3 linked regions of the Callithrix jacchus genome follow. The protein of the gene in region 1 interacts with the protein of each later gene in a biochemical or structural test. Links are inferred from orthologs where the notes say so. Each region holds a gene or a part of one and is shown on either strand. Other genes may lie near its edges.

Region 1 (6,985 bases):
CTCGGCCTCCCAAAGTGCTGGGATTACAGGGGTGAGCGGCCACGCCTGGCCAACATGGTTCTTAAAAACTTCTTGAACACGTGCCATATGCCTTTTAATTTTTTCTGTTAGTAATCTTTAAAAAAAAAAAAAAGAACCCTCCCTCACAACATGTCAAACTTCTAGGCAAGCAAGTAATTCGAAGGGTTCTACTATATTGGAAGTGATGTACAAGGGCACAGAAATAAAGATGCCGGAGTCTAATTGCTTAAGTAGACAGAGTTCAGCTGAAGTGACAGTCCCTAATGAATAACCACCACATCACTAGAGCAAGTCCCTAAGGAGTGCTTTTTTTTTTTTTTTTTGAATAGAGCTCTTTTTTTCTTTTTTCTGTAAAAAAAAGTCAGCCCTGTTCACGCCACTGCACTCCAGCCTGGGTGACAAAGCAAGACTGTCTCAAAAAAGAAAAAGAAAAAATTTTCCCAGGAGAAAAATGAACCAAATGGAGTCCCTTCCCTGCCCTCAGTGAGTTCATAATCCAGAGCTACAGAATTGATAACAGCATACAATTGATAGCTTTAAAATTATTCCTTCTACAAGTAGGTTGTGGCAGGCCTGGTTAACCAGGACAGCCAGTGATTCTTGCTAATACACAATTGTAAGACTTTATGATGCAGATTCACTGAATTAATCAAAGTGTTATTTCATTTTGGAAAATAAACTGTTTCCAAAACAATTGTAAATCCCTGTAGTCACTGAATTCCTTATCTCTGTTGCCTCCAGTTCCCATCTTCAGTATTTCGTTGGTCAGTCAAGAGGATTCTGAGCACATTTGTATCCATTTAGGAAATTCTTCAGCTCAACAGGGAAAGGGAGGGAGGGAGGAAGACCTCACCATTTTCCTAATCTTGCCCATAGTTCCATGGAACCAGAAAAGGTTAACTTTTTCCACTTTCCTTGTACCTCCCTTTCTGCAAACCCTGAATTGTTTCTGCTTTCAGTGACTGCCTTAACTGGTAAATTATAAGGTGTTTTTGTTTTTGTTTTTGTTTTTTTTTGTCAAGGTCTCAGTGGCACGATGATGGTTCACTGCAGCTTCAACTTCCTCGGCTCAAGCGATCCTTCTGCCTCAGCCTCCCAGGTTGCTGGGACTACTGGTGTATGTCACCACGCCTAGCTAATTTTACTTTTTGCAGAGACAGGATCTCCTGTTTTGCACAGGCTGGTCTCAAACTTATGGCCTCCCAAAGTATTAGGATTACAGGCATGAGCTTATGTCTCAGCTCATGCCGAATATTTTTAAGATACAGTTTCTCTTGACCATTTTTCTCCATGTAACCTTACATGTGTATCTTTCTCTTTTGTTATCGGAAGGGTTAGGACTGCAATGGCAGAAAGGCAAAAAAATTAAGAATATTCAGCTTTTGACTTAGAAAACACATTGTGAAATGTTTAACAGGACCTATCAAGAGTTAGGCCTGCCTAACTCGATTACCGAGGCAGTCACTGGAAGCAGAGAGAGAATTCAGGGTTTAAAGAGGAAGATGCAAGGAAAGTCGGAAAAGTTAACTCTGCTTCCATGGAACTATGGGCAAGGTTGAGGCAATGCTAAGGTCTTCATTCCACCTTCCCTTTCCCTGTTGAGCTGAAGGATTCCTCAGTACTCAGAGTCCTTAGTATAACAAAGTCCTGAGGGTAGGAACTGGAAGCAATAGAGGGAAGGACAGTAACTACAGAAAATATTCAAGGTCTGTGGGAGATCAACACTTTTGAACCCCCCTGGTGATGGGGGGGCACTTCTGGCCCATTTGCACTTTACTTGCTAGTGTAGAAAACCTAAAGTTATCTCAGGCTAGATTTATTTTTTTGTTTTGTTTTGTTTTGAGACAGAGTTTTGTTCTTGTTACCCAGGCTGGAGTGCAACGGCGCAGTCTCGGCTCACTGCAGCCTCCACCTCCTGGGTTCAAGCAATTCTGCCTCAGCCTCCCGAGTAGCTGGGACTACAGGCGCACGCCACCATGCCCAGCTAATTTTTGTATTTTTAGTAGAGACGGTGTTTCACCTTGTTGACCAGGATGGTCTCGATCTCTTGACCTCGTGATCCACTCGCCTCAGCCTCCCAAAGTGCTGGGACTATAGGCGTGAGCCATCGCACCGGGCCTTCAGGCTAGATTTATAACCCTCACTCATATCTACAGGAGCTCTCCCCCAGGTATAAATCATATTTGTAGGTTTCTTTGACAACCAACCACTCATTGATAAGCCTGGAAGTCTGCAACCCCACATTCCTTAAAAATATACAATGGTACAACCCCCTATAGGCAAGTCCCGGACTCTGACACATATCTTCAAATGAAAGCAGACCCAGAAAGGAAAAACTGCATAATACACCATCCTTTAATGTTTGCCCAAAATTTTCAATACTAGAAACCCCACTGCAAAGCTGAAAGACTATTTGGTAGCTTCAAGGAAGCATTGCAGGATATTGTTGTGTGGGCCTCAACATTCAATGCTGCCTTAGAAGATCGTGCAATACCCTTCTTGCCCCAATAGCAGAGTTGATAAGCCACTGAACCAACCAGAGGGGAATTATTTTTGGTCCCGGTTTAAAGAAAACAAAACGTGACTCATGCCTGTAATCCCAGCACTTTGAGAGACCCTGCCTCTACAAAATGTAAAATAAATAAATAATTTTAAAACCCTCAAAAAAAAAAACAAAACAAAACAAAACAAAACAAGCTGTTGATTCTGCCATGATCTCTTGGGTAATGATGTCTCTAACCTGTAATAAACAGGAAACAACTAATAAAGGTGTAATCTCCCTTGAACCAGCTTCATAGAGCTGGCTGAAACTCACATAGAGGCGAGGCTTTCACGTGACCCATTCTAAAGGCGTCATAGGGACACGTGGTTCTAGATACTTCTCCCCCTCCCCCTCAGGGGTGGATTGTTGACAAGGCCACGGTCAGTCACGTGATCTTACGTCATCCCACCTCCTTTCCCTGAAATCTCTGGCCCGGATGAGTCCCCCCTCTCTCCACCCCGCCGAGTCTAAACTAATGACGGGGAGGGGGACAGATAGTGTTTCGGTTCCGTGGTCTCTGAATCCACAACCTCTAGTGTAAGCACAGAGTACACAAACTTGCCGATCATTTCAGGAAGCCCAGGCTGAACCCAGCCCCGCAGAAGGGCTCGGAGAACGCGCGCTCCAGCGTCCCGCCCCCTCCTCCCCCAACGCTCTTCCGTGGTAGCGGCGGAGGGCGGAGGGATCCGGAGGGCGGAGGGATCCGGAGGCGGCGGAGGGAGACGTCATTGCAGGGTTGTTTGTCAGTCTCGGCGACGGCAGCAGCGGCAGCTACCCACAGTGATTTGGCCGCCGCGCCGGGGGGTGGGGGGGCTGCGCGGGACTCTTTTCTTTCAGACTGACCGCGGGGCAGCTGGGGAGCATGTCGACCCCGGCCCGGAGAAGGCTCATGCGGGATTTCAAGCGGTAAGGGCCTTCACGTCCGCCTAGATGACGGCCCCTCAAAGCTGCGGGGCTGCAGGGTGGGGATCCCGGACACCTTCCCCTTGTGACCCTCCGAGGGCCGGCTGTGGGCCCAGCAGAACTGGCAGAAGCCGGGTCCTAGCCTCGGCTTCCACTACCTTATCCTTGCCTCTCGTTTTGGCGGCCGAATAAATTTCGATACTCCTCCTACCCCCAAAAAGTAAAACGGTGTCGATCGACTGGCCTAGGGTTCCCTGCTGCCCTTTTCGGCCAGCTGCCCGGCGATCAGATTTCCTCCACCCGCCCCTGCACCCTGCGGCGCCCCCTTCTTGTCCTCTTAAAGTAAGCTCCTGCGGGAGTTTGTTCCTCGCCGGCTGCACCGGTCAGCTTTGTTTCACTGCCCCGCCGTCTTCTCCGAGGAGCCGGGTTGGGGCGAAACCCCCCGCACCACGCCCCGGTCCTTTCCATTTCTACCGTGAGGGTGGGGTCCAGTGCGTGAGGCCCGGAGCTTAACCCATCCCCCGAAACCCGACTCTGTCCCCGCCCGCCTGAAAGGACCTTGGGAACCGACTTAGAGATCTGGGACCTCAGAGCTGGCCACCCCGGCTGCCAGTGCCTTCTGGAACTCAGCTCTGGCTGGTGAAGAAAGCCCTATCTATAGCCTCCCGAGTCTGGAAAAATGCCTTCCCTTAGACGGGCGCTAATTTGATACTCCCTGGGCCTCCTTTGGTAAATAAATAGGGTTTTAACTGTTAGGAGGTATTGGGGTTGTGAGAAAGAGAATGATTAGTCCGTCGTTTGCCTTTAATTGGATACTTAGAGACATAGAAAAACATGTGAGAAAACAGCATTTTGATAACTCTGCACGTTTTTCTTAAAATTTTTTTTGGGGATACCTGCCCTAATTGAGACAAAATATCTGGCCTAAAAACTTAGATTTGTCGCTCAGGAAGTCGCCTCTCAACTCAGCCATTATAAAGCCTATGTGAAGCATTTGGAAGCCATCCATTGTTTTGGGCTTTGGCCAACTTATTTAATTCATTGGTAGCTTCTCTTAGCCATTTAAAGGTAGGCGTCAAGCAGTGCAGTTCTTGTGAGGCTTCTGTTCGTGGCGGCCTAATTTGCTTGAAATTGACTAAAAACCTTTTTTTTTTTTAATGTGGACTAGTTGCAAAGTGTGATGCCCCATGAAAACGACTGCATATGTATTTGTGTGTATAATGTAGCATTTTTAATTGACACTACAGTCTCTGAAAGGAGATGCCCTTTTTTGTGCAAAAGTTATCTTTCTAAAGCTTGAAATTAGTGTATTTGCTTGGCACTTGTGACTAAAATTCAAATAGCAATTTAGTTCACGTCATTGTCTCCCTGGCTCCTTACTGTAATGCTCTGCTTAATTCTGAGTTGAGTATATGACACCTTTTGAAGTTTTCCAAAGGTCTGCAGGTTATAAGAATTTGAGGAATGTTGGAAAGCCTTGTATTGAGTCTCCTGATCTGAGAGGTAGATTTGGTGTTAGTGCAGAGCCTTAAAATAGGGACTGGCAGAAAACCTACTGATTACTTTTTAAAGCCATTGCCGTTTGAAGCAAAAGGGATAAAGTAAATCTGCCTAATACTAGTTTTGTAATTAACGTGTTTTCAGTCATTAGTGTTTACACTGAGGTTTGCTTTTCTTTTTTTAGCCATTTTGCAGAAGTACCTGTGGTTAAGACACACAGTCTTTGGATGGTTAGAGCAGCAAAATCGATGGTTCTGTAAAAATATTATTTGCTTTTGAGTTTTTAAACTTTTTTTTGGTTTAAGAGGACAGTCTGTATGCATCAATTCTTGAAGAGATAATAATCTTGATAATATTGAAAAAGGGATGATTCTCAAGCCTTTTACATTTTTAGATAATTTGGAGAGGTATTTAATAAGTGTATATACCTGGTTAATATATTTAAGTCATAGGGTTCATTTTAGTTCACAGTAACAAGGAAATGGAGTTAGTCCCTGTGTCACAATAGATGGTATAGTGTCTGTAGGTGTTTATGTGGCCTCCTTAGTGGCCTTAATGTTCAACTTTTTAAATTACCACTCCGGATTTCTAGGTTACAAGAGGACCCACCTGTGGGTGTCAGTGGTGCACCATCTGAAAACAACATCATGCAGTGGAATGCAGTTATATTTGGGTGAGTTGAAAGGTTTATAATAGGTGTGTGTTGAATCTTTAAGTGAATATATAACAACTGCCTAGGAAAAGAAACTGGGGTGGATTGAGAGATCTTCAGGACTAAAACTACAAGATAAATTAGAAAAAAATTTTTTTAATTAGAATTTTAGCTCATGCCTAGGAGGATCGCTTGAACCCAGGAGTTCATCACCAGCCTGAGCAATATAATGAAACAGTGAGTCTCTCTCTCCCTGCCCCCCAAAAAAAGGAGTTTTGGCCCAGCCTGGGCAACATAGTGAGACCTCATCTCTACAAAAAGTATAAAACTAGCTGGGCATAGTGGTGCACACCTGTGGTCCCAGCTACTTGGAAGGCTGAGGCAGGAGGATCACTTGAGCCCAGGAATTTGAGTGCCATGATTATGCCACTGCACTCCAGCCTGGGCAGCAGAACCAAGACCCTTATGTTTCAAAAAAAAAAGGAAAAAAATTTCAGCAGTTATATACAATTTATTTGCTCTTTTATTATAGGGTTTTATAATCACTTCAGGTTTTACTTTAAAATACTATTCAAAACTATATGGAATGGAATAATAAAGGAGAAAATATAAATTATTTTGTATAAAATATACCATGCAAATGCTTTAATTCTGTTGGAGCTATTACAAGATTTGGAACCAAAAATATTAAGAACTTCTACTGTGGCAAGTATTTAAGTGAAAAGGATTCACAGCCCGGTGTGAAGTAGCAGAATGCAGCCATTTGAGGAGTTGTAAATTTTACGTACTATATATGTTGCATATATGCTTTTTAATTTAAATTTTCCTTATGCTTTTTCTTTGGTTTTTCTAGACTTGATCTGTTTTTTCTTTCATTCCTTTGAAACTCGAGATATGCATTAAAAAGTAAAAGGAATATGTTGATAAACAGAATTCTGATACTCCAGTTCAGCTACAAGAGTCTACATTTAAAGACTAGTGGAAAATGAGTGAGGTTCACCCTCATAAAGCACTTCTGTTATATTCAGGGTATTATCTGGCTACTTTGAGATCCTGAATATGCCTTGCAAGTAATAATTAAACCTTGTGCTGCTGCTTAGGAAGTATGAAATTGGGATGTGGTGGCAAGGATCTGAACAAGAGAATCTGGCTTTTTGGTGACAGCAGCTATGCTTAGCCTATTTGAACAAACGTTATGCATCTGTTGGAAAGCAGGACACTTGGGTTTAGCATCATAACTAAAGACTATTGCTTTCCATCTTATTGCTGTTAAATGAAAAAGATGACTTTTTCTCTTAAGAATATACATATGTGGCCAGGCATGGTGGCTCACGCCTGAAATCCCAGCACTTTGGGAGGCTGAGGCG
Region 2 (6,229 bases), on another chromosome or scaffold:
CCCAAAGGCCTGGGGCTGGCACCAGATACTCCTCCTGTTTTCTCCAGCCCGTCTATGCTTTGTCCATCCTCCTTTCCTGTCCTGGGCCCCCATCCCGTACCTTCTCAAAGTCGATGGGGTACATCTTGAATCCAGGGAGCTTGTCTGGGCTGGGCAGAGTGGCTTTGAGCTCCTCTAGACGGCTGTCATCTGCATGAAGAGAGGAACACTGTCAGCCCTTTAGATCCCAAGCTAAGGTCTGAGGTGGAAATGGGAGCCCAGGGTGGGGCAAAAGGTATTCGGGTAGAAAAAGGATTTGGAAAGGAGAGACATCCTGGGAGAGAAAAGGGACAAGGAGGAGAGGTAGAGGAGAACAGAGTACAGACCTGAAAAACAGAGACTAAGAGCTGAGACTATCAAGAGCAACCTCTAAAGACACTAAGGAACGGAAATGAACATGTTGGAATAAAGTGGAGATGGGCAAATCAAGATGGAAGACGTAAAGATCTTGGGAAGAATGTAGAGCAAGATGGAACATACAGGGAAGAAAAGGGGAGTACAAAAGATATATGGAGGGGAAATTGGGGGAAATGTACAGATATAGATACCGAGGAGAGATATGGGGGGAGATGGAGAAGATACAAAAGGGGGAGAGTAGGGGTATATACAGAGGGCAAGACAGGTGGGAGGAGAAAAATGGAGGAAATATATGAAGGCGATGAGAGATATGGAAGGAAAGATTGAAAGACATACACAGAGGAACATGAAGCAGATATTTCAGAAGGAAGATAGGGACCATGGAAAGGGAAATGGGAAATTTATGGAGAGGAAGACAGGGGAGATATAAGGAAGGTAAATGTAGGGGCGTTACAGAGCTACAGAAGCATTATATACAGAAGGGAAGGGCAATGGAAAAATATGTATAGACGAGGGCTGGGAGGAGGGTGTCAGTAAACTGCAGCCCCAAACTATGGAGGGTGAAGATGCATACAGAGAAACATGGAGGTAGATGTATAGATCAGGGCGGATCTGGAAGGAGACAAGGCAGGAAGGTATCAAGGGAGAGAGACCGCTGGTGGAGATCATACCTCCTAGATGAACAGATTAAGAAACAGAAGAAAAAACAAAACTCAGGGAAATACACAGGGCAAGAATAAAACAGCAAGTTCTCCTGAGTGCAGAGAGTGGGAAGGAAGGAGGGAAATAATCTGCCCCAACCGACCCTCTTCATGTTAAAGGGAGGCTCAAACGAAGGTATGGGTAAACCTCAGGCCTGGGGTCCCAGAGCAGAGCAGAGCCAGGGGTACAGGACTGGTGGGGACGCTGGACTAGGCAGGGGACATGTGGAGGTGACTCCTGGCCAACTGGCCAAACACCCTCACCAACAGAGGCATTGGCGCTCTGCAGCTCCTGGTCAGAAACGTGGATCTTGACGCCAGATTTGGGGGTGAATTCAGGGACCTGCACAGACTGCAGGAGTGTGGCCACAGCAGCTCGGTCCTGAGAGCCTGTCAGCCCATAGGTCTGGGCAAACAGGTTGGCAGCAGCCATCACATAGTCCAGATGCAGGGGCTAGGAGAAGGCAGGGCAGGAAAAGGTGAGCACATAGTCCTTGAGTGGGGAACCGCCACCTCCTTCCCACCTACTCACCCTCCACCTGACCCCAGGAGACCCCAGAGAGGAGACTTACGTTGTTGACATCAAAGGTGAGCGGGTGTGGACAGCGTTTGGGCCCAGACCAGAACGGGGCTCCCGAGCTGGTGAGCTATAAGGGATGAAGAGATTTTTGAGAACAGGACCTGACAGTGAAGGCCTCTCTGACAACCTTGACGCTTCACGTAGGCCCCAGAGGTGCCCCTAACTCACTATCTTGAGTTGGGTACTCGATGGGGGCTGGAGTCAACCACAAATGACCCCAACTGTAGGGTCCCACAAGGTTGAACCAGAGATCAGGCTGAGAGAACAATTACCAATCCCTGGGAAGGCATTTTGTGCTAGATAGCCTATCATTTAACAAATTCTCATGGATTACAGGGCATTGTACTAACTTCATATTAATAAATACCAGTTAATCCTCCCCAAACCCCCCATGAGGTAGATTACTATTATTTCTACTTCACAGATGAGGAAACTGAGGTACAGAGAGAAGTTACGTGATTTGCCTAAGTTCGAGTCTGGATTTGAACCCACATTGATTCCTGTGCTCTTAACCCCAGAATTTCTCCCCCACACTCCCTACAGCCCTGACGGGGAATTAGGTATGACTCAGTCCATACCACAGTCAAGGGAAACAGCGACCAAGCCTCTTGCTCAAAGGAACTAGGGTGGGAAAAAAGCAGGTCAGGCTCAATCACTCTTCTCAGATCCCCATGCCTCAGGGCACCTGCTACAGCTGGACTGAGGACCCACACTGAGAGCCCACAGCAGGCTCCCATTTCAGGGAAACACATTCTGCCAAATGCACCCAACAAATGGGCATTACCTGGTCAGGAGGGAAGTTGTGCAGCAGCTGCCGGATGTTGTTTGAGTACTGGGTGTGCCAGTGGTGGCAGGCCCAGGTCACGCAGTCAGCCCAGGTCTGTGGTCGCTGCAGCACCAGGCTGCGCTGCACAGCCTCCAGCACCTCCAAGGGCTGGGTGCCTGCCAGCCGCAGTGTTCGCTCCACAAACTTGGGGTCTCTATCAGGAATTGAAGAGAGAGGACAGGATTATACCTCAGCCTCAGGAATGGGCTTCAGAGCAATCTTACTTTCTCCGTGGAAAACTAGTCCCGACCCCTAACAGCATGAGGCCCAAGCAGCCACTCATTCATGTGAAAAGTATACCTGGTGCCAAGTGTGTTACTGTGATGAGGAGAGCAGGCGGGATGCCCTGGCTGGTGGAGGGACAGGGCAAGAGGGCACTCAAGTTACTCACGTGAGGTACTGGTTGACGTTTTCTGCTGGCTGCTTGAAGAGGCCTTCAAACTCATCCCGAGCCCACTGCAGACACAGCAAACGGATTACATGTGGCCACAGTTGACAAAATGGGTTTCCGCAGACATTAGAAAGATCATTAGTGAATAAAGCAAGGAGGCGGCACACAGCTGTTCTGCAAGGCTCCCCAGCCTTCCCCACTCCCCCACCTTAATCGAAAAACCAGGCCGGGCGCAGTGGCTCACGCCTGCAATCCTAGCACTTTAGGAAGCTAAGGCGGTGGTTCATCTGAGGTCATGAATTCGAGACCAGCCTGACCAACATGGTGAAACCCTGCCTCTACTAAAAATACAAAACTTAGCTGGGTATGATGGCAGACGCCTGTAATCTCAGCTACTCGGGAGGCTGATGCAGGAGAATTGCTTGAACCTGGGAGGCGGAGGTTGCAGTGAGCTGAGATCACACTACTGCACTCTAGCCTGGGCAACAGAGCAAAACTCCGTCTCAAAAGAAAAAGGCCAGGCCTGGTGGCTCAGGCCTGTAATCCCAGCACTTTGGGAGGCTGAGGTGGGCAGATCATTTGAGGTCAGGAGTCCAAGACCAGCCTGGCCAACATGGTGAAACCCTGTTTCTACTAAAAATACAAAAATTAGCCAGCCGTGGTGGCACATTGCCTGTAATCCCAGCTACTTGGGAGGCTGAGGCAGAATTGCTTGAACCCAAGGGGTGGAATTTGCAGTGAGACTGTGCTACTGCACTCCACCCTGGGCAACAAAGCGAGACTCCACCTCAAAAAAAAAAAAGAAAAAGAAAAACCAATGAACTTTATCTGCGCAGCGGTTACAATAGTGTTATGCACATGTGGAAAACTGTTTTGTTTGAGACAAAGTCTCGTTCTGTCACCCAAGCTGGAATGCAGCAGCACAATCATGGCTCACAGTAGCCTTGACCTCCCAGGCTTAAACAATCCTCCCACCTCAGCCTCCTGAGTAGCTGGGACCACAGGCACATGCCACCACACCTGGCTAATTTTTAAAAATTTATTGTAGAGACAGGGCCGTGCTATATTGCCCAGACTGGTCTTGAACTCCTGGCCTCAAGCAATCCTCACATCTTGGTCTCCTGAATGCTGAGATTAGAGGTGTGAGCCACGCCTAAAAATATATTAAGATCTGTGTACCTCATTCTAGATATGTTATGCCTTCATAAAAAAGAAAAACTTCAGTTAAGTATATCTTACCATAATTTTTAAAAAAGAAAAAGAAAAAACTCAGACCAAACCACAAATGATCCCTATCCAGGCCCCGAGGACTCGGCAGAAAACAAGACAGAGGCCGGACACAGCGGCTCACACATGTAATCCCAGCACTTTTTGAAGCTGAGGCAGGTGGATCACTTGAGCCCAGGAGTTTGCAACCTGTCTGGTCAATATAACAGGAACACACACACACACTTCCCAGGAGTTCAAGGTTGCAGTGAGCTATGAATTGTGCCAACGCACTCTAACCTGAGTGACAGAGTGAGATCCTGTCTCCAAAAATAAAATAGCAAACAAGACAGAGCTTCTGGCCTCTGAGAATTCCTAAGACAGTTTGCAGTCATTAGTGTGGTGGTTTGGAGGGTACAAATGTTAGAAATTCAGGTTTAGATTTCAGCTGTGCGCATATTACCTAGTCTTGTGACTTCAGGCACGCAGGGTAACATCTTTACCTCCATGCCTCATCTCTATAACAGATGTTACAACAGTAATACCTACTTCATGGGGTTGCTAGGAAGAAATGTGCAAATACGTATATATTTAAAGCTTGTTTAAAACAGTGCCAGGCACACAGTAAATGCCAAGTGGTTCACAATAGCCCTGTCAGGTAGATACTACTGTCATTCCCATTTTACAGAGCAGGAATCTGAGGCACAGAGAGGTTAAGTTCAAGGTTACACATGACCTAGTAAGACTGTGGTGGGTGCAAAAATACAAACATATCCACTCGGAACCACAGGGTCAGAAGAGAAAGTGACAGATGGAGCTGGTTTTTTTTTCCTCTTCCCTGTTTTGTTCCCACCCTCATACTCCTACTATTCTAAATGGTTTGGCCTCAAACACTGTACTAAGAATTATTCTGATAGCACAATCGTAATCCCTAGGTCTGTTTCTTGGCCCAGGTGCTAGTCACCTGTGTATTCACTTTGTAAAACTTCAGCTAGATCAAACGTCTCATCTGTGGCCCATATGCGGCCCAAGACGGCTTTGAATGGTGCCCAAAACAAATCTATAAACTTTCTTAAAAACACTATGAGATTTATGCGTGGACCTTTTTTCTTTTGTTTTTTTCAGCTCATCAGCTATCGTTAGTGTTAGTATATTTTATGTGTGGCCTGAGACAATTCTTCCAGTGTGGCCCAGGGAAGCCAAATGATTGGATACCCTCGAGCTAGATGTTAGTTATGTGCACTGTTCTGCAGGTACATATACCATACACACAGAATCATCCTGACAAACCAGCTATTAAACTCATTTTGAGCAACAGCTGGGGAAAACCTGAATATGGACTGAGTATTAGAGACAAATAGATAACTGGAAGAGATAGTAAGAAATTATTGCTAATTTTGTTCAGCATGAAGATGATGTTTTGGTTAGACAGAAGTAGTTCTCAACTGGGAGTGATGTGGCACCTCTGGGGACATCTGGCAATATCTGGAGACATTTTCAGATGTCATGATGGAGGGGGAGTGCTATTGGCATCTAGTGGGCAGAAGTCAGGAATGCCAAGAAACATCTTATAGTGCACAAGGCACCCCCCCCCGCCATGACAAAGAAATATCCAGCCCCAAATGTCAGTAGTGCTGAAGCTCCAACCCTGTTCTATAGGAACATTTCCTCACTTGGCAGAGGCACTGAAATAGTAGGGAGTAAAGGATTATGATGTCTGTGACACATTTAAGCATGAAGAAAAATCTATATAAATCTAAGAAGGAAATGTGGCAAAACATTAAGCATTGTTAAATGTAGGTGAGGAATGGTATTTGAGTATTCATAATATTCTTAATATTTGTTGAAAAATTTTTGAAAAATTTCAACAAAAATTTTTTTCTGTATGCTGAAAAAAATTTTGAAATAAAAGTGAAAAAGTAATGAGTCATTCTAGAAACCTAGGCTGCCTTGTAGGAAGTAAAGGAGGGAGGCTTGGAAAAAAGGCACATTTTACACTTAGGCATGCAACATCTGAAGGCAAGGCAAGGCAAGGGCCTGGGGGCCAAGAGGCAGCGGCCCGGCCAGATGCCTGGCTTCTTTCCCTTCCCCCACAGCTGATCACCTGCAGGGTGTGCTCGATGGCATTA
Region 3 (6,229 bases), on another chromosome or scaffold:
TCTAAAACTGAAATAGAATAATAATACTATTATGCAATACCTCCCCATTGCCCCTTCCCCACACCCACTAGCAACTACCACTCTCCATGTCTATGAATTTGACTACTCTTGGTACCTATTATAAATGGACTTATACAGTATTTATCCTTTTGCGACTGGCTTATTTCACCTAACATAATGTCCTCAGGTTTATGTTGTAGCATGTGCCAGAATTTCCTTTTTTTAAAAGGCTGAATAATATTCCATTGTATGGATATACCACATTTTGTTCATCCATTTATCCATTGATGGACACTTGGGTTGTACTACCTTTTGGCTGTTGTGAATAATGCTGTTATGAACATGGGTGTAGAAGTATCTGTTCAGGTCCTTGTTTTCATTTTTTTGGGAATATACCCAAATATGGGATTGCTGGATTATTTGGGAATTCTATTTTTAGTTTTTTGAGGAACCATCATATTGTTTTCCTTAGTGGCTATACCATTTTACATTCCCACCAGCATGCACTAGGATTCCAGTTTATCTACATCCTTGCCAACACTTGCTATTTTTTCTTCCAACCCCTCCCCATTAATAACCATTCTAATGGATTTGAAGTGGTATCTCAGGTGCTTTTGATTCACATGCTCCTAGTGATTAGTGATTTTGATCAGCTTTTCACATGTTTATTGTCCATTTGTATATCTTTGGAGAACTATCTATTCAAGTGTTCTGCCCATCTAATTCTAAATAATAACTGTTTACAGACATGTGATTTACAAATATTTTCTCCCATTCTGGGGGTTGCCTTTTTACCCTGTTGATGATGGTATCCTTTGATACACAGGTTTGTTTGTTTGTTTTGAGACGGTGTTTCACTCTTGCTGCCCAGGCTGGAGTGCAGTGGCGCATTCTTGGCTTACCGCAACATCCACCTCCTGGGTTCAAGCAATTCTCCTGTCTCAGCCTCCCAAGTAGCTGGGATTACAGACATGTGCAGCCACATCCGGCTAATTTTTTGTATTTTTAGTAGAGACAGGGTTTCACCATGTTGGCCAGGATGGTCTCGATCTCTTGACCTTGTGATCCAGGGATTACAAGTGTGAGCACCGCACCCGGCCTCACAGGTGTTTTTGTTGTAGTCCAGTTTATCTATTTTTTTCTTTTGTTGCCTGTGTTTTTGGTGTCATGTCCAAAACCTTATTGTTAAATCTAATGTTTTGAAGACTTTCCCTTCGTTTTCTTCTCTGAGTTTTATTTTTTAGTTTTAGCACCTATATTTAAACCTGTGTTTAAGGTCTTTGATTCATTTTGAGTTAATGTTTATGTATGGTATAATTGACATCATGGGATTTTATGTTGCTTTTATTTTTATTAAAAAATACTTAGATTAATTTTCATTTCTTTTTTTCTCCCCCCACCCGCCTTTGCTTAAAGAATTGTTTTAACTGGTAATTTTCATTTCTTTTGATGCTTGGCTAAAAGCAGTAAACATATCTTCAGAGACAGTATGTTATTTTTATATAAGGTATGAGCACACCTTAAACAGTGTAGAATTTTAAATATGTTAGTAATATTGTGTTTCAAAATTAGAAATCAACAATCTGCATTCTAGAGTATTATTTCTAAACTCAGTAAATATACTTTAAGTCACACAAGTTTTGTTTGTTTTTTTTCTTTAAAGACGGAGTCTCACCCTGTCGCCTGGGCTGGAGCACAGTGGCATGATCTTGACTCACTGCAACCTCCGCCTCCCGGGTTCAAGCAATTCTCCTGCTTCAGCCTCCCAAGTAGCTGGGATTACAGGCACCCACCATCACGCCTGGCTGATTTTTGTATTTTTGTAGAAAGCAGGTTTCACCATGTTGGCCAGGCTAGTCGTTGAACTCCTGACCTCAGGTGACTGCCTGCCTCGGCCTCCCAGAGTGCTGGGAGTACAGGCGTGAGCCACTGTGCTCGGCCAAATGACACAAATTTCTAAACCACCGTGCCTGCCAAATTACACAAATTTTTAAACTTGATGAGTTAACCAGTTAACAAATTGGGTTTGTTTTCTCATTTTTCTCTCTCTTTTTTTTTTTAATTTTAGGTCTTCATGTACGTTTAAGCAGGCTGGGTGCTGTTTCAAGACTGCATGAATTTGTGTCTTTTGTAAGTGATTCTACTAAGTATTGATTTGCTTATGTTCTATTTCTGAATACCTCTTGGTTGATGGACAAGAAGGAAAATAATATTTGGAAACCCACCTGAATAATTCCTATTTAGTAATTTTACATCTTCATATAGTATATTGTAATCTGAATCATGGGACTTAGACATCTAGTTCTAGCTCTTCCGTTTTACGCATGAGAAAACTGAAAAATATGTAGTGCCCTAACTTGGAGACACATCCAAGCTCTGTGAGAAATGATAAAATTGGCCTCACTCTATTTCAGGAGGACTTTCAAGTAGAGGTATTAGTGGAATATCCTTTACGTTGTCTGGTGTTGGTTGCCCAGGTTGTTGCTGAGATGTGGCGAAGAAATGGGCTGTCTCTTATTAGCCAGGTATGTCAAAACCTATTATTCATATTTATGAATGTGTTCATTTTCTAGTTTTTTTTCTCTTACATAATTTTACCCTATGTCCCTGGATTTTACTGAGGATTTGCCACTATTCTCTTATATAAGCTCTTAGAAATGAAAGTTCTAGGAACTATATAGACATTTCTCCTATCCTATTTACTGTGTATTCCATCTGAATTATAAGAAACTAGGGTGCTTATATGATAAGTTAGGTGAGAGTCAATAGTACCACCAGGGACCTCCCTGTTACATAGTTCTTTTCTGAGAATTACCTTACTTGGAGGCCTTTAGTCTTCCCACTATCTGTCTTAATTGAAGGCCACCTTGTAATTTTGTCTTCTATTTTAGAGTAAATATGGAGTAGTGCTTTTCTTTTTTTCTTTTTTTGAGACCGAGTCTCCCTCTATCGTCCAGGCTGTGGAGTGCAGTGGCGCTATCTCAGCTCACTGCCGTCTGTACCTCCCGGGTTCAAGTGATTCTTGTGCCGCAGCCTCCCGAGTGGCTGGGACTACATGCATGCGCCACCATGCCCAGCTAATTTTTGTAATTTTAGTGGAGACCAGGTTTCACCAGGTTGGCCAGGCTGGTCCTGAACTTCTGACCTAAGGTGATCCGCCTCTGCCTCCCTCCCAAAGTGCTGGGATTACAGGTGTGAGCCACTGCACCTGGCCTTGCTTTTCTTAAAAGGTGGGGAAATAGGTCTTGAAAAGTTACCATTTAGAAGAAAAATGGTATTACATGTTTACCTATGTAACAAACCTATATAGCTTGCATGTGTATCCCGGAACTTAAAATTAAAAACAAAGAAAAAATGATATTATTATTGATTGGTTTACTTTTATTGAAGTAGGTATTTTAAACTTAGGGAAAATAAAAATTCTTTTTTTATACACAAGAGTAATAACTAATATAGAACATTTTTAACTCTGAAGTGATTTCATGCCATATTTCTTCACTTCATCCTCACAAGTCCCTTTAAATGATTCATTGATATACAACTTATTTTTTGCCACTAAGGAGTTTCTAGCTTAGAAAAAGTTTTAAGGATAGGTTTACTTGAGAAATTTGCTTGAAATAATTCTTTTAGCCTTTATTCCACCTATTATTTTATAGGTGTTTTATTACCAAGACGTTAAGTGCAGAGAAGAAATGTACGATAAAGATATCATCATGCTTCAGGTACCTGTTTAAATTGTTTCTGATATTTGTGTCTTAATCTTCCTTTTTAAATTCTTTGTAATAAGAGAAGATAATGTAATTATTTTTAACTTAAAATATTCTCACGATTAAACTGAATATGACATCATAGAAATAGAAGGGACTATTCTATTTCATTATCTTCTACAAACTTTATAATTTTCTGACCGTCCTATAAGAGACAAAATGTTTCTCCATACAATACACAAGAAATATAATGCTGGGTTTTTTTTCACAGATTGGTGCATCTCTAATGGATCCCAATAAGTTCTTGTTACTGGTACTTCAGAGGTATGAACTTGCCGAGGCTTTTAACAAGACTGTATCTACAAAAGACCAGGTACAGAACCTATAAATTAAGTGAATTAATTTTAAAGGAAATATTGTTACTTTTTGAGTCATATTTTATTTCAGTCATATTTAGTCATATTTTAAAAGTTATTTCTTAATGCATACCTCCTGAAATGACATGGATATATATAGCACACATAGGTACACACGTATAATCTTTTTAATCTAGAAAAATTAGAATATGTAGGTTAACAAAGAAAAAAATCACATGAAAAACACTGCTTCCTGGAAATGATCACTTTTAAGGTTTTGGTGTCTTGCTTGTTTTTAAAACAAAAAGTGTATCATTCTGTATGTGTTGTTTTGTAATCTGCTTCTTATGCTTAACATATTGTCAAAGGTTTTTCATCTTGTCATGAAATAAATATGCAATTATATCATCATTTTAAATAATTATATAGGATTACACTATATGATGCATTATACTTTAAAGTCTGTTACTGAAGAGGTCTTTCTAGTTGGTTGCCCTTTTATTTATTTACTTATTTATTTTTGAGATGTAGTCTTGCTCTGTTGCCCAGGCTGGAGTGCAGTGGTGTGATCTTGGCTCACCACAGCCTCTGCCTCCAGGGTTCAAGTGATTCTCCTGCCTCAGCCTCTGAGTAGCTGAGACTAGCCACCATGCTCTGCTAATTTTTGTATTTTTAGTGGAGACAAGATTTCATTATGTTGGCCAGGTTGATTTTATTTTGTTTATTTATTTATTTTTGAGAAGTTGGTTGTTCTTATAAACAGTTGTAGCTCATTATTTAAACACTTGTCTAACTATTTTGTTAAGATACATTTTTATAAGTGGATTTGTTGGATAAAACAACATGCTTTTTCTTAAGGCTCTTAATACATATTGTCAAATTGCTGTCAGAAATTCCTATTTAAGCTCTCTCTTGCAATATATACATCTATAATGACATTGGTATTTCAATCTTTGTTGTCTCAGAGGTAATATACAAATTTTATTTTATTTATTATTTGTTTCTGAGACAGAGTCTCACTCTGTTGCCCAGGCTGGAGTGCAGCAGTACGATTTTGACTCATTGCAACCTCCATCTCCCATTTAAGTGATTCTTCTCAGCTTCCTGAGTAGCTGGGACTACAGGCATGAGCCACCAAGCCCAGCTACTTTTTTGTATTTTTAGTAGAGTTGAGGTTTCACCATGTTGGCCACGGTGGTCTCAAACTCCCGAGCTCAAGTGATGTGCGTGCCCCGGCCTCCCAAAGTGCTAGGATTATAGGTATAAACCACTGTGCCCGCCTACATCTTTATTGTTTTAATATTTGAATTAGCCTATAAAGTAGGCCTTAACTACTTTGAATTCATGAAATCTCATTATTCTATTCTTTCAAATGAGAAGTTACTCCTGCTGGTAAAGTTTCTTTGGAAAAATAATAAATATATAAAAAAAACTTTTTAAATGAAAAAATAGAAGTTACTTGCAAAGGGCTAACATGAATAGGATGTAAAATGCAGAGCTAATTTTTAGTTGTGTTTTATACTTAGTGAAAATCAATATCTGATTTAATAGTGTTTAAATGAGGGGTGTATTAGAGAAGGATACTCTCAGCATAACTGTTGAATATGTATTTGTAGGCACTTTCTCACTACCCCAGATAAGAAGGCAGCCAATAATAGAGGATGAATTAAAGATTAGCATTAGTGTGCTGACGGGTGACTATGCAGGGGATAATGAGAATGAAAACAATGACAGTATTTAACAATTGTATGCCAGGTATTGTTGAATTTGATGTCAAAAAAGGGAACTCTTCACCTTGTAACTATTTGTGCTGTGCACATACACGTACGCAAATACTGTACTGGATGAAAAAATACTGAACCGGATGGACCATGAGTCTGATCCAGAAATGCATGTTTTATGGAGATTTTTGGTTCTTCCATACTAATTTATTCTTTTTTGATTCTGTAGGATTTGATTAAACAATATAATACATTAATAGAAGAAATGCTTCAGGTCCTCATCTATATTGTGGGTAAGATTAAAACACAATGTTTTGAAATAGAACATGGATTAATTTTTTTTTTTTTTTTTTTAATGAGATGGAATCTTGCTCTGTCGCTTCGGCTGAAGTGCAGTGGCTCAATCTTGGCTCACTGCAACCTCCGCTTCCCGAGTTGAAGCAAT

What was found.
Region 2: of the proteins of UBE2B (region 1) and UBA1, one has a biochemical effect on the other in vitro, tested with the Homo sapiens proteins (10 studies listed by BioGRID, with this or other methods). The link is inferred for Callithrix jacchus from reciprocal best matches to the Homo sapiens genes UBE2B and UBA1.
Region 3: the proteins of UBE2B (region 1) and UBR1 form a complex in vitro, tested with the Homo sapiens proteins (2 studies listed by BioGRID and IntAct, with this or other methods). The link is inferred for Callithrix jacchus from reciprocal best matches to the Homo sapiens genes UBE2B and UBR1.

Annotation. Positions count from the first base shown.
Region 1 is NC_133503.1:32,756,557-32,763,541, forward strand, and holds the start of UBE2B (ubiquitin-conjugating enzyme E2 B), read left to right. Parts: upstream 1-3,305; 5' UTR 3,306-3,425; coding exon 3,426-3,469; intron 3,470-5,558; coding exon 5,559-5,639; intron 5,640-6,985. UniProt on the Homo sapiens protein: E2 ubiquitin-conjugating enzyme that accepts ubiquitin from the ubiquitin-activating enzyme E1 and transfers it to a E3 ubiquitin-protein ligase. In vitro catalyzes 'Lys-11'-, as well as 'Lys-48'- and 'Lys-63'-linked polyubiquitination.
Region 2 is NC_133524.1:48,167,519-48,173,747, reverse strand, and holds part of UBA1 (ubiquitin-like modifier-activating enzyme 1), read right to left. Parts: coding exon 6,205-6,229; intron 2,960-6,204; coding exon 2,895-2,959; intron 2,658-2,894; coding exon 2,462-2,657; intron 1,745-2,461; coding exon 1,670-1,744; intron 1,552-1,669; coding exon 1,362-1,551; intron 190-1,361; coding exon 101-189; intron 1-100. UniProt on the Homo sapiens protein: Catalyzes the first step in ubiquitin conjugation to mark cellular proteins for degradation through the ubiquitin-proteasome system.
Region 3 is NC_133509.1:30,775,279-30,781,507, reverse strand, and holds part of UBR1 (E3 ubiquitin-protein ligase UBR1), read left to right. Parts: intron 1-2,068; coding exon 2,069-2,130; intron 2,131-2,414; coding exon 2,415-2,525; intron 2,526-3,656; coding exon 3,657-3,722; intron 3,723-3,978; coding exon 3,979-4,080; intron 4,081-6,013; coding exon 6,014-6,077; intron 6,078-6,229. UniProt on the Homo sapiens protein: E3 ubiquitin-protein ligase which is a component of the N-end rule pathway. Recognizes and binds proteins bearing specific N-terminal residues that are destabilizing according to the N-end rule, leading to their ubiquitination and subsequent degradation.